Struthio camelus: one gene and its partners. The protein of the gene in region 3 purifies or fractionates together with the protein of the main gene of each other region. This does not show direct contact. Links are inferred from orthologs where the notes say so. Each region holds a gene or a part of one and is shown on either strand. Other genes may lie near its edges.

Region 1 (3,744 bases), about 2.1 Mb from region 3:
CAAAACTATACATCTTCCAAAAAGTGCAGCCATTCCAGCACTGGAACACCAGAATTTTCACTTCTGAGAGAAGCCACTATAGCTGTCTGCAGTTAAGCAGTCTCCTTCACCCAAATATTTCCAAGAATAGTCACGATAGGATACAGACTGCTGAAATACCCACATTCCAGTCACTTAAGCACTACAAGTGTCTTAACACACATGGAACAGTGACACATTGTGCGTAAGTTGTGCGTATCTTACAGCTTCATTTAGTAGTGCACAGGATCCTACTAATAGCTAGAGTAATTGCACTGCAAATTTAAGTGGAATGAGAACAAGCTCTACAGTCAGTTTAGGCATTGTTTGCTTTCTTCTCCGACTCTTCTTTCTTTGGATCCTGCTTCAGCTTGTAATCAGCCAAGGCGGCCTTGATTGCATCTTCAGCCAACACTACAAAGAAAACAAAACGAGGCCTTACAACTATTTCAAGAGAGGCGAGAAGTCATTTTGAACACAATATGCAGTAAAACCAGCAGCAGTAAACCCCACAGAAGTTAGCGTAGGAGTTTGAGAACAGGGTCAGTATTTTAGAAGCAGACAGTCAGGAGTCAGACCTTTTATTGTCACCAGTCTTCTGAGCTACACAAAACCCAAAAGATGACAGACTTGGAAACTTGTAATGTCACCCCAAAGCCCGAATATAAGCTACTTTCTCTTGCAGGCCAGCCTCAGTTGTTCCAGGTACAGGTATTTGATTTGGACAATAACATTTGGAAGCATCTGTGCTATTGCCAGAAGTCTTATTCCCACAAACTTGTCTTTGGACTTTAATAGCTTAGTCCTTTACTTACTAGAGCAGTGCAGTTTGACTGGAGGAAGGCAAAGTTCTTTAGCAATATCTGTATTCCTGATCTTCAAAGCTTCATCAACCTGAAACATACAGTTAGTGTGAAGATACTAGTCATCTGATAAATAATACAGGCTCCAAACGTATTTGTGAGAAGAGCGCTTTAAGGCTCCAGAGGCCAACAGAATCCACAAAGAATATCTCAACTGCCCCTGGCAGCAAAGGACGCTGGACAACACGCTAACACGAGAAAGACCCTCAACATCTATCCAGTTTTCTTCTGTGCCAGCCAAGTAACAATCTCAAGGAATGCCTCAAGCCAAGCAGCAGTGTTAACTAACCAAAACATGCTAGTGTTATGGACTGAACATGACTAAGGAATTGTTTTAAGTTTGTTTACCTTTTCCGCACAATACTGAAACCCATGAACTCACCAAAAAAAAAAGGGGGTAAGTAATCTGAAAAATGTGGTTTTAAAAGTTTTTTTCCAGATCTTGCAATCTGTTTTTCTTGCTGTATAATCCACAAAGCGTTTCTCTGCAAATTAGTGCAGGTTCTTGGAGGAGACAGCTACTGCCCCAGAAGCCAGGCCACTGACAAGGACAGAGTTCTCAGGCACAGCTTTCTAAGCTAGTACATTACATAGCACCACTTCTCCAGAGCGCTTTCCAGGCCTCCGCTTCTTCGGTGGCCCCAACACAGTGGGGCTTGAAACTTCAAACGCTTTCCACGGCACTGCCTCCACAGAGACCCTTACCGTTTTCCCTTTAACCCACTCCGTAGCCAGCGAACTGGAAGCGATGGCCGATCCGCAGCCGAACGTCTTGAAACGGGCATCGATGATCTTCCCGTTCTCGTCCACCTCCACCTGCGGGAACGTCGGCAGCAGCACCTCAGGGGCCGGCTCTGCCTCACCGGGCACCCCTGAACCACCCCTGGGGGGGGGGGGGGGGGGCAGCACCTGACTCACACCCATCCCCGGGGGAGCAGCGACAAGCCCTGCCTGGGCTCGGGGCGGGGGGGGGACAGACAGGACCAGGCCCGTCCCTGGGGCAGGCCAAACTGCAGCAGGCCTCGCTGCGGCCGAGGAGCCCCAAGGTCACAAGTCGGGGGGGGGGGGGGGGGGGGAAGAGGAGAAAAGAAGGGAAAGAGAAGAGAAGGGGAGGGGGGGAAAGGGGGGGGAAAGAGAAGAGAAGGGGGGGAAGGGGGGGGAAGGGGGGGAAAAGAGAAGAGAAGGGGGGAAAGGGGGGGGAAGGGGGGGAAGGGGGGGAAAAGAGAAGAGAAGGGGGGAAGGGGGGGAAGGGGGGGGAAGGGGGGGAAAAGAGAAGAGAAGGGGGGGAAGGGGGGGAAAAGAGAAGAGAAGGGGGGGAAGGGGGGGAAAAGAGAAGAGAAGGGGGGGAAGGGGGGGAAAAGAGAAGAGAAGGGGGGGAAGGGGGGGGAAGGGGGGGAAAAGAGAAGAGAAGGGGGGAAGGGGGGGGAAGGGGGGGAAAAGAGAAGAGAAGGGGGAAGGGGGGGGAAGGGGGGGAAAAGAGAAGGGGGAAGGGGGGGGAAGGGGGGGAAAAGAGAAGAGAAGGGGGAAGGGGGGGAAGGGGGGGAAAGGGGAAGGGGGGAAAGGGGGGGGGAAAGGGGGGGCCCTCCCCTCCCGCTCACCTGGAGCTTCATGACGTCCCCGCAGGCGGGGGCGCCCACCAGGCCGGTGCCCACGTTCTTGGCGTTGCGGTCGAGCGAGCCGACGTTGCGCGGGTTCTCGTAGTGGTCCACCACCTGCGGGCGGGCACCGCGTCACCAAAGCCCGTCGCCGCGGCGGCGGCGGCCCTCCTCCCCCCCACCCCGGTCCCGTCCCGTTGCCCCTCACCTTCTTGTGGTAGCCCAACCTCGCCGCCGCCTCGCCGCGCCCGGGCCGCAGCAGCGCGGCCCCCGCCGCCCTCAGCGCCGCCATCTTGGTCCGCGCGGGGGCGGGTCGCGCCGCGCCGCCCTTTTATCGTGTGGCGGCGGGAGGGGGCGGGGCCGCGGGGCGCTGCGCGGGCGGCCGCGCTCCTCACGGGCCTGGGCCAGCGGCCTGGCAGAAGCGGGGCGGGCGGGCCGTGCCTGGCGGCTCCCGGCGAGCCCCTTCCCCTCTCGGCTGTCGTCTCTCCCCGGACGCTGGCTCTGGCCCACGCTTCGGTGCACCCCCCCCCCAAGTACTCAGCCGACGGTTACGTTGCCGGCGGTTCCCCCAGCCCCTCCGCGCCCCCTCGCAGGAGGCTCCTCAGGTGCCGTCAGGTCGCCCCGTCCGCCGCTGTTTCCGCGGCATGGCGGGGCTGGTGCCGGGAGAGGCGCGCGGTGTGGCAGCCTGGCGGAGGGCGCGGGGGACGCGTGCTCGGGCAAGATAGGCGGCCGAGCCCACGCGAACGTTATCTGGCCGCCTCGGGCAGCGCGCCGGTGATGTAACCCGGACGCGAGGAAAGCCATCTCGTAAACAGAGGGAACGCTTTGGGCCGTCTTCAAGAACCCTAACGCTGTCACTAAAACGGATGAACAGTAGCTCGGGGTGTTTTTTTTTTTTTATTTTTTCGGCCGCGAAGTGTGGCGCAGCAGCCGTTGGCGGCCGGGGCGGGGTTGGGCTCCCCGCCAGCCACCGCCACACTCAACATGGCGGACCGGCGGCGCACGCGCGCTCCGGGCCCGCGCCGACCTTCTCGGAGGCCCCCCGGCGGCCAGGGCCCGAGGTGGCCGCAGCGATGCCTGCGCCTCGCAGCAGCCGGCAAGCGGGACGGCCCGGAGTCGCTCGGCCGGGAGCGGTGCCGGTGCGCGGCGGAGCGCGGGGCCCTGCGGGCGGCGGCTCGCCCCTCTCCCCGCGGGGTTTGCCCGGCGGCAGGGCGTGACGGCGGCTTAGGCGCGGCGCGGGCAGCCCCGGCGGCTGGCGGAGCGGCGCT
Region 2 (3,656 bases), on a different chromosome or scaffold from region 3:
CGCGTGCGGGTGCCCGGGCAGCCCGCCAAGCTGGGCACCGTCATGTACGTCGGTGAGTGGCAGCCGGCGCCCCGCGTTTTCCCCGAATCGCCCGCTCCGCCTTCGGGCCGCTGACGCTCGGCGCTCTTCCTCCTCCTCCTCCTCGCAGGGCTGACGGATTTCAAGCCGGGCTACTGGGTCGGGGTGCGCTACGACGAGCCGCTCGGCAAGCACGACGGCAGGTAGGCGGGCGCCTGTCCCCTTCCCGCTCGGAGCGGTGACTACAGCCGGAGCCCCCGGTGCCCGCTGGTATTTTTTTTCCGCGCTCCGACGCTGTTTTTCCCCCCTCCACCCCTTTTCCCCGTCTTTGCCAGCGTCGCCGGCCGGAAGTACTTCGAGTGCCAGCCCAAGTACGGCGCCTTCGTCAAGCCGGCGAGCGTCACCGTGGGCGACTTCCCCGAGGAAGACTACGGCCTGGAGGACGAGATGTGAGCGAGGCCGGCGCTCCGCCGCCGCGAGGGACGCTGACCCGCCAACAGGCGGTTGTTTCGTTTCCTTTTGTTTCCTTTTTTTGTTTTTTGGAGGAAAACGCTGTTTTGGTTTTTTCCCCCCCCCCCTTTTTTTCCCGCTCCGGTCCAGAGCCGGCCGGCTCGCCGCAGCCTCGCGTGCCCGAATTTCCCGGCCGTGCCGGATCGTCCCTGCTGCCGGTCCCGTGTACAAAGCCGCTTCGTCCCCCCCCCAAACAGAAAATTCCCCATTGCGGCGGTTTTTGCCCCGTTTTCTCACCGCTGCTTTTTATTTCTTTCCTTTTTTTCCCCTCTTGTTGCCGTCGGCGATCGCTGCGCCGGGGGCCTCGCCGCCGCGCCGCTCTCCCGCCGTCCCGCGCCTCTTTTGGGGCCGAAAGCGGGAGGGTTGGGTTTGCTCCCGGTAAGTTATTGTTCGCTTTGTCCCGCCGCCGGGGCCCGTCCCTTAAATAAAGCCCCCGAGGGTGAAGCCGTCGCCGTGGCCACCGGGAAGGGGGTATTTTTGGGGGGGGGGGGGGGTTGGAGCGGCCCCCGGGAAGGAGCCGCCGCCGGTACCGGACCCCACGTGGTGGCAGCGCAGGGGTGGTGCCTCTGGGGGCGGGGCTTCCCCGCAGCCAATAGGCGGAGGCGCCGCCGCGCAGGGGGGCGTGCCCAGGTGGGCGGGGCCGGAAGGGGTGACGGCGTCGCGGGAAGGAGAGGCCGCGCGGGTGAGCGGGACGGGGAGACCCTACAATAACAACGCCGGGGGGGGGGAGCAACACAGCCCCAGGAGACCCTACAATAACAACGAGGTGGGGTGGGGGGGTGGAGACACGACCGCCCCGGGAGACCCTACACTAACAAGCGGGGTGGGTGGGAGAGAGACACCCCCCCCCCGGGAGACCCTACAATAACAACGAGGGGGGGATGGAGACACAATAACAACAGCAGGTGGAGACAAAACCAGCCCGGGAGACCCTGCAATAACAGCCTGGGGTGGAGGAACAACACAGCCCCAGGGGCTGTGACCCTACAATAACACACACACACACACACACACACACACACACACACACACACACACACACACACACACACACACACAGGGACCCTACAACCACCACCCCTCCCCAGGGCCACAACTCCACAACCCCTCCTCGGGGCTGCGACCCTACAACCACCAGCTCTGGGGCTGCAGCCCTGCAACAACGCTTGGGTTGCCACCCTACAACCACCCCTGGGTTCACAACCCTACAACCATCACTCCCAGGGCCACAGCCCTGCAACAACCCTTGGGCTGCGACTCTACAGCCACCACCCCCAGGGCTACAACCCTGCAACAACCCTTGGCCTGTGACCCTACAACCACCCCCGGGGCCACAGCCCTGCAACAACCCTTGGGCTGTGACTCTACAGCCACCACCCCCAGGGCCACAACCCTACAACCGCCATCCCCAGGGCTACAACCCTGCAACAACCCTTGGCCTGTGACCCTACAACCACCCCCGGGGCCACAGCCCTACAACAACCCTTGGGCTGCGACTCTACAGCCACCACCCCCAGGGCCACAACGGTACAACCACCACCCCCCAGGGCTGCAGGGCTGCAACCCTACAACCACCACCTCCAGGGCCACAACCCTACAACCACCCCCACCTCCCCGGGCCCACTGTCCGCCCTTGGCCGACTGTGCACCCCTAACAAAGCGCCTTTCCTTCACGTCCTGGGGGCACCGCAGCCAACACCCGGCAATTAACACCCCTGGCAATTAACACCCCCGCAGGGCTAACTGTCCCCCCTCCTTCCCCCCCCCCCAACCGCAGCCAGAGGCCGCTGGGGGCCGGATTCGCCCGTCCCCGGCGCCATGGCGGCCCGGAGCCGGCTGCAGAGGGAAGTGCTGAGCCTGTACCGGCAGCTGCTGCGCGCCGGCAAGGACAAGCCGGGCTCCGAGCAACGCATCCGAGAGGAGTTCCGCCGGCACGCCGGCACGCCGGCCGGCGACAGCCTGCGCCTCGAGTTCCTGCTGCGGCGCGGCCGGCGGCAGCTGGAGCAGCTGCGCGCCGCCAGCACCAAGCGGCTGAGCGCCTTCGGCCGGGCGGCGGCGGGCGCCGAGCCGAGGCTGCGGGCCGCTCCGGAGGAGAAACAAGCGCTAAAAAGAGGGCGGCCGGGAGACGGTGGCTCCTCCTAAAGGATCGCGGGTGCCGGAGGTGGGATCTGCTCGTTTCCGCCGCTGGGGATTATCGGGGGTTCGGGCCGGTTTGGCGGTTTGTTCCCGTCGCGTTGTGCGCGTTTTGGGGGGAACCAGCTCCGGTCCGTCCTGAAATGAGGAGGAGGAGGAGGGGGGAAAAAAGGAACGCGTCGCCTTCAAAAGGCTGTTTTCCGGTGACGGACGGAGTTTGTTCGCCGTTCCTGACGGAGACACCGCAGCGACTCGCGCCGTTCTCGCAGCAGCGTCACCCGCCCAAAAAAACGTTTTCCTCCTCAAACGGCACCCGGTTGCAATGCGGGGCGGGACGGCAGAGTTCGGCGAAAACTGGCCACCCGGGAGGGTTTGGTGCCGTTCCCGCTCGCGCCCCGGGCTGGCGTTTTATTGCATTTCTAATAAAGGCGAGTTTTAAAGTGGAGAAAAACAGGTTTTTGGGGGGTTTTTTGGGCAGCATGGCAGCAGCATCCTGCTCGACCGCCCGAAAAGTCGTAAAAACCCCAAAGCGCCTTCCCTTGGGGGGACGAGGCCAAAGCGGAGCCCAAACTGTTCTTTGTGCCACGCTCGGGGTAACGAGCGTGCCCGGAGCTGCCTGATTACGGCTGCGGTTTTTGCCCGGTTTGCGTTTGGCCGCGCTGCTGCTTTGGGGCAAACAGGGCACAATCGGTATCCTTTTAGCAGCGCCCTTTTCTTTTATTTTTTTAATGATTCTTTTGCCAAAAAGGCTGCGGAAAGTGCTTCTTTACCTGGCTAGCGTGCTTGTTCGCTGTGCAAGTCCAACGCCTAGCACGACACAACTTCAGGCTTTACACTAATCCAAGCAGTGACCGTATTGACATCAGTAGGTTTCAGGGTTAACAGCACACAGCAGTAAACGGTGCTGCGCGGCTTCAGGCTGCTGGCAGGTCCAGCAGAGGATGTCACCGAGGGCTGGAAATTTAATACGGAAAGTACTATTTTGGCTTTGAGGC
Region 3 (3,744 bases):
CACGTCGCATCACACTTTGCTTATCCTCTTGGTTCAGCAGGCAAAGATTTGTTCAAACTCCACAACCTTATCACCATCAGTTTATACCGACATCTTGCCTGGATTCTCCACTACCACCGATTCATGAACTGCCTTTTAATGAAATATTTTATCAAGTTGTCGTCTGTATTCACCAAAATACTCAACGTTTTCAAGTGGAAGAGAGAACCCAGTGAAAGTCTGGAAGTCCTGTCATTGACAAAGGACCACTCTTGGTAGAAAATAGTACTCAGTTTGGGCTCCTTCATCACACATTTATCTCCTTGAAACCAGGAGATACCCTGTGGTCAGTTAAGTATTTTATTAAATCCCATTTTGAATGTTCCTTCCTTTAGAACAATCGAATTGCCCTTATCCGCTGAACAAGAATTTCCTTTTTATAATCAATACAGGTATACCTATATACCTTCAGAATAGGTACTCTCATGCAGATTTTCTGAAGCCAGATTTGACTTTCAGGTGGCATAAATTGGTAAAGATAACTTTTCTTAAAAAAAAAAAAAAAAAAAAAAGGTGCTTTGGAGCAAGTCAGTTCAAGTCTAATGCAAGTAAGTGATAAGACACTAAAAGAAATGCACTGAAAGAATTAAGAGTCTTAAGAGAGACTAACTTATTTTCATGTTATAAAAGATACAGGAATGTAAATTACTTCTGTACAAAACTGCTAGATTGCAACCTACCTTTAATTAAGGTTTCAGTTTCTTCAAGGGTACCCTCATTATTAGGCTCTGCTAATTTCTCATTAATTTCCATGATTTCCATGAGAAACTCCGGATCAGCATCACAGTCCGTCTCTTGTGCCAGCTGTATTCCATTCAGCTCCAGCTTATGAAGAAAATGGGAATTAGGAAACCCATGTTCATACATCTATTTCTATGTAAACGATATTCTAAAATACTAAGTCTTTACTAACTTGCACAGACTCCTGTCTGGTAAATTTCAGGTATGTGAACTTACTCAGTGAAGCCTGCATTAACAGAGTCTGTGTTAAAATTAACTCTACTGGTAGACCCTAAAAACAAGCAGTTAATCAAAGCCAAGAAAAGGTAATGAAGACCGCAAAGAAGACTGCTTCAGCAGACTGAAGACTGTTTTTCATTTTTCAAATGAAAAGCAACAGCTATAGCCAAAGAAAACGCGCAAAACACATACTAAACTAGTGACATAAGCAGGAAGCGAGATTACAGCAATCAGCAAAGTGTTAAAGAAAACAGTGCTCTATAGAAAGGCTGATAACTTTCAGACAAGCTTGTTTCTGGTCTCCCTTCAGTCCTGTTTCTTCTTCAGAGGAACACGAATTAGCTAGCACGTTAGCGGTGGAGTCTGAGACAAAGTTTATAAAGCTCTGATTCATTACGTTACCACCAAAAGCCCTAACCACCCACAACTAGTTATGAGAGTATAAATATAGTATGCAATGGAAACCTCACTAGATAGAGGCCGCGGCTCAAAGGATTCAGGAGAGTCTGGTAGGCTTTGTTGATCAAGGAAGAGTGCTGCTCAGAGTAATACTGTTCTTTCTGTCAACAGAAGATAAACAATACTCAGTAGCAAGTTATTCATAGTAATAAAGGACAAAATATATTATTACACTTAAGTCACCTGCAGATAAAAAAACATTTCCACAGCAGTACATGTGTGTAAAACTGAAAGTTCATTTTTTAACAGAAGTAAAATACAAAGAACGGGGAGAGGACTGCCCAGAACCGTACCTCTGCCATCTCCCGGGACGGACCAGGCCAAGGGCTGGTGGCGACGGGATCTGCCGCCCGCTACCGCCCCCCAGCCAGCCCGGGAGCGGAAGCCGGGGAGTCGCTGCCGGCCCGACACGGGAGGGCTGCGGCGCTGCCCCGGCGGGGGGAGGCCGGGCCGAGCCGGGGCCGTGTCCGGGGCCGTGTCGGGGCCGGGGCGCCCGGGCGGCACTCACCGGCGGCCTCTGGCCGAAGCGGTCAGGGTGGAGGGCGCGCTGCAGGCTCCGGAACCGCCGCCGCAGCTGCTGCTCGTCGAGGCGGAAGGAGCGGTCACTGCGGGCGAGAGCAGCGCCGTGAGCGCGGCCCCGGCCCCCGCCCCGCCGGCCCCGGCCCCCGGCCCCCGCCCCGCCGGCCCAGCCCCGGCCCCAGCCCCGCCGGCCCGGCCCCGCCGGCCCGGCCCCCGGCCTCCGCCCCGGCCCCCGCCCTGCCGGCCCGGCCCCCGCCCTGCCGGCCCGGCCCCGGCCCCGGCCCCGGCCCCAGCCCCGCCGGCCCGGCCCCCGGCCCCCGCCCCGCCGGCCCAGCCCCGGCCCCAGCCCCGCCGGCCCGGCCCCCCGCCCCGGCCCCGGCCCCCGCCCCGCCGGCACTCACCAGGCCATGAGGCGGAAGAGGTCAGGCCGCGGCCCGGGCGGCTGCAGGGCCCGGCAGGCGGGGCAGAAGCGGGGCAGCCCCCCGGCGCTGGGGACGGGGCCGCCGCAGCTCCAGCACCGCGGGGCCGCCGCAGAACCCGGCCCGACGCAGCGCGGCCGCGGAGCCGCCTCGGAAACGCGGCAGCGCCATCGCCCGCGGCACAGGTGCTGCCCGAGCGCCGCCCGCATCCCCAGACTACAGCTCCCAGCAGCCCCCGCGGGGGCGCCGCGGGCCCTGATTGGCGCAGTTCGTAGCCAGGATTCGCGGGGCGCCTGCGCACTGAGTAGCGCGGCGCGGGCTCCGCGCGGCGACCGGCGCGGGCTCTCCCCTCCGTGAGTTCGCCCCCCGCGCCCCCCGCCCCCCCCCGCCGGGTCGCCGGAGGCCCGGGCAGCTTGGCCGGCCCGGCCGCACTCGGGCGCTGCGGCGGGGCGCGGGGAGGCGCCGCGGGGAGGGGCAGGCGCTGCTGCGGCCGGGCGGGCGGCAGGGGGCGCTGCGGGCTGCGTGGGGGGGGCCCTGTGGGGGGGGGTGTGCGTGCGTGCGTGCGTGCGTGCGTGTGTGTGTAGGGGGCGCTGTAGGGTGTGGGGGGTGTGCGGGGGTGTGTGGTAGAGGGTGCTGCGGGGGGTGTGGGGGTGAGGGGGTGGGTGCATGGTGGAGGGCGCTGTGGGGTGGGGGGGCGCGGCGGGGTGGGTGTGGGGTGTGTGGGGGTGGGGGGCGGGGTGGGGGGTGTGGGGGGTGTGTGGTGGAGGGTGCTGTGGGATGGGGGGGGCGCGGCGGGGTGGGTGTGGGGTGTGTGGGGGTGGGGGGTATGGGGTGTGTGTGTGTGGTGGAGGGCGCTGTGGGGTTTGGGGGGGTGGGTGTGTGGGGGTGGTGGAGGGCGCTGGGGGGGTGGGGGTGTGTGGGGGTGGGGGGTATGGGGGGTGTGTGTGTGCTGGAGGGTGCGGGGGGGTTTGGGGGGGTGGGTGTGTGGGGGGGTGGTGGAGGGCGCTGGGGGGGTGGGTGTGGGGTGTGTGGGGGTGGGGGGTATGGGGGGTGTGTGTCTGTGTGGTGGAGGGCGCTGGGGGGTTTGGGGGGGTGGGTGTGTGGGGGGGTGGTGGAGGGCGCTGGGGGGGTGGGTGTGGGGTGTGTGGGGGTGGGGGGTATGGGGGGTGTGTGTCTGTGTGGTGGAGGGCGCTGTGGGGTTTGGGGGGGTGGGTGTGTGGGGGGGTGGTGGAGGGCGCTGGGGGGGTGGGGGGTGCGGCAGAGGTGCTGCGGGTGGGCAGCAGGGCGCGGACGTGGCGGCCGTCTGGTCCCGGCCCAGCCTGGCCTGTCACGGGTCCCCCCTTGCCAC

The links.
Region 1: the proteins of HSCB (region 3) and ISCU purify together in Homo sapiens (affinity purification with western blotting; 3 studies listed by BioGRID and IntAct, with this or other methods). This does not show direct contact. The link is inferred for Struthio camelus from reciprocal best matches to the Homo sapiens genes HSCB and ISCU.
Region 2: the proteins of HSCB (region 3) and SDHAF1 purify together in Homo sapiens (co-immunoprecipitation; 3 studies listed by BioGRID and IntAct, with this or other methods). This does not show direct contact. The link is inferred for Struthio camelus from reciprocal best matches to the Homo sapiens genes HSCB and SDHAF1.

The regions. Positions count from the first base shown.
Region 1 is NC_090958.1:18,837,731-18,841,474, reverse strand, and holds the start of ISCU (iron-sulfur cluster assembly enzyme ISCU), read right to left. Parts: upstream 2,817-3,744; 5' UTR 2,769-2,816; coding exon 2,685-2,768; intron 2,594-2,684; coding exon 2,480-2,593; intron 1,698-2,479; coding exon 1,587-1,697; intron 913-1,586; coding exon 834-912; intron 433-833; coding exon 335-432; 3' UTR 1-334.
Region 2 is NC_090957.1:1,947,388-1,951,043, reverse strand, and holds SDHAF1 (succinate dehydrogenase assembly factor 1, mitochondrial), read left to right. Parts: upstream 1-1,060; 5' UTR 1,061-1,210; intron 1,211-2,305; 5' UTR 2,306-2,346; coding exon 2,347-2,670; 3' UTR 2,671-3,108; downstream 3,109-3,656. Other genes in the region: TBCB (tubulin-folding cofactor B), read left to right, coding at 1-52, 149-221, 354-471.
Region 3 is NC_090958.1:20,910,295-20,914,038, reverse strand, and holds the start of HSCB (iron-sulfur cluster co-chaperone protein HscB), read right to left. Parts: upstream 2,639-3,744; 5' UTR 2,606-2,638; coding exon 2,379-2,605; intron 2,064-2,378; coding exon 1,967-2,063; exon of another isoform or gene 1,761-1,966; coding exon of another isoform or gene 1,752-1,760; intron 1,560-1,751; coding exon 1,470-1,559; intron 865-1,469; coding exon 720-864; intron 527-719; coding exon of another isoform or gene 495-526; exon of another isoform or gene 443-494; intron 1-442.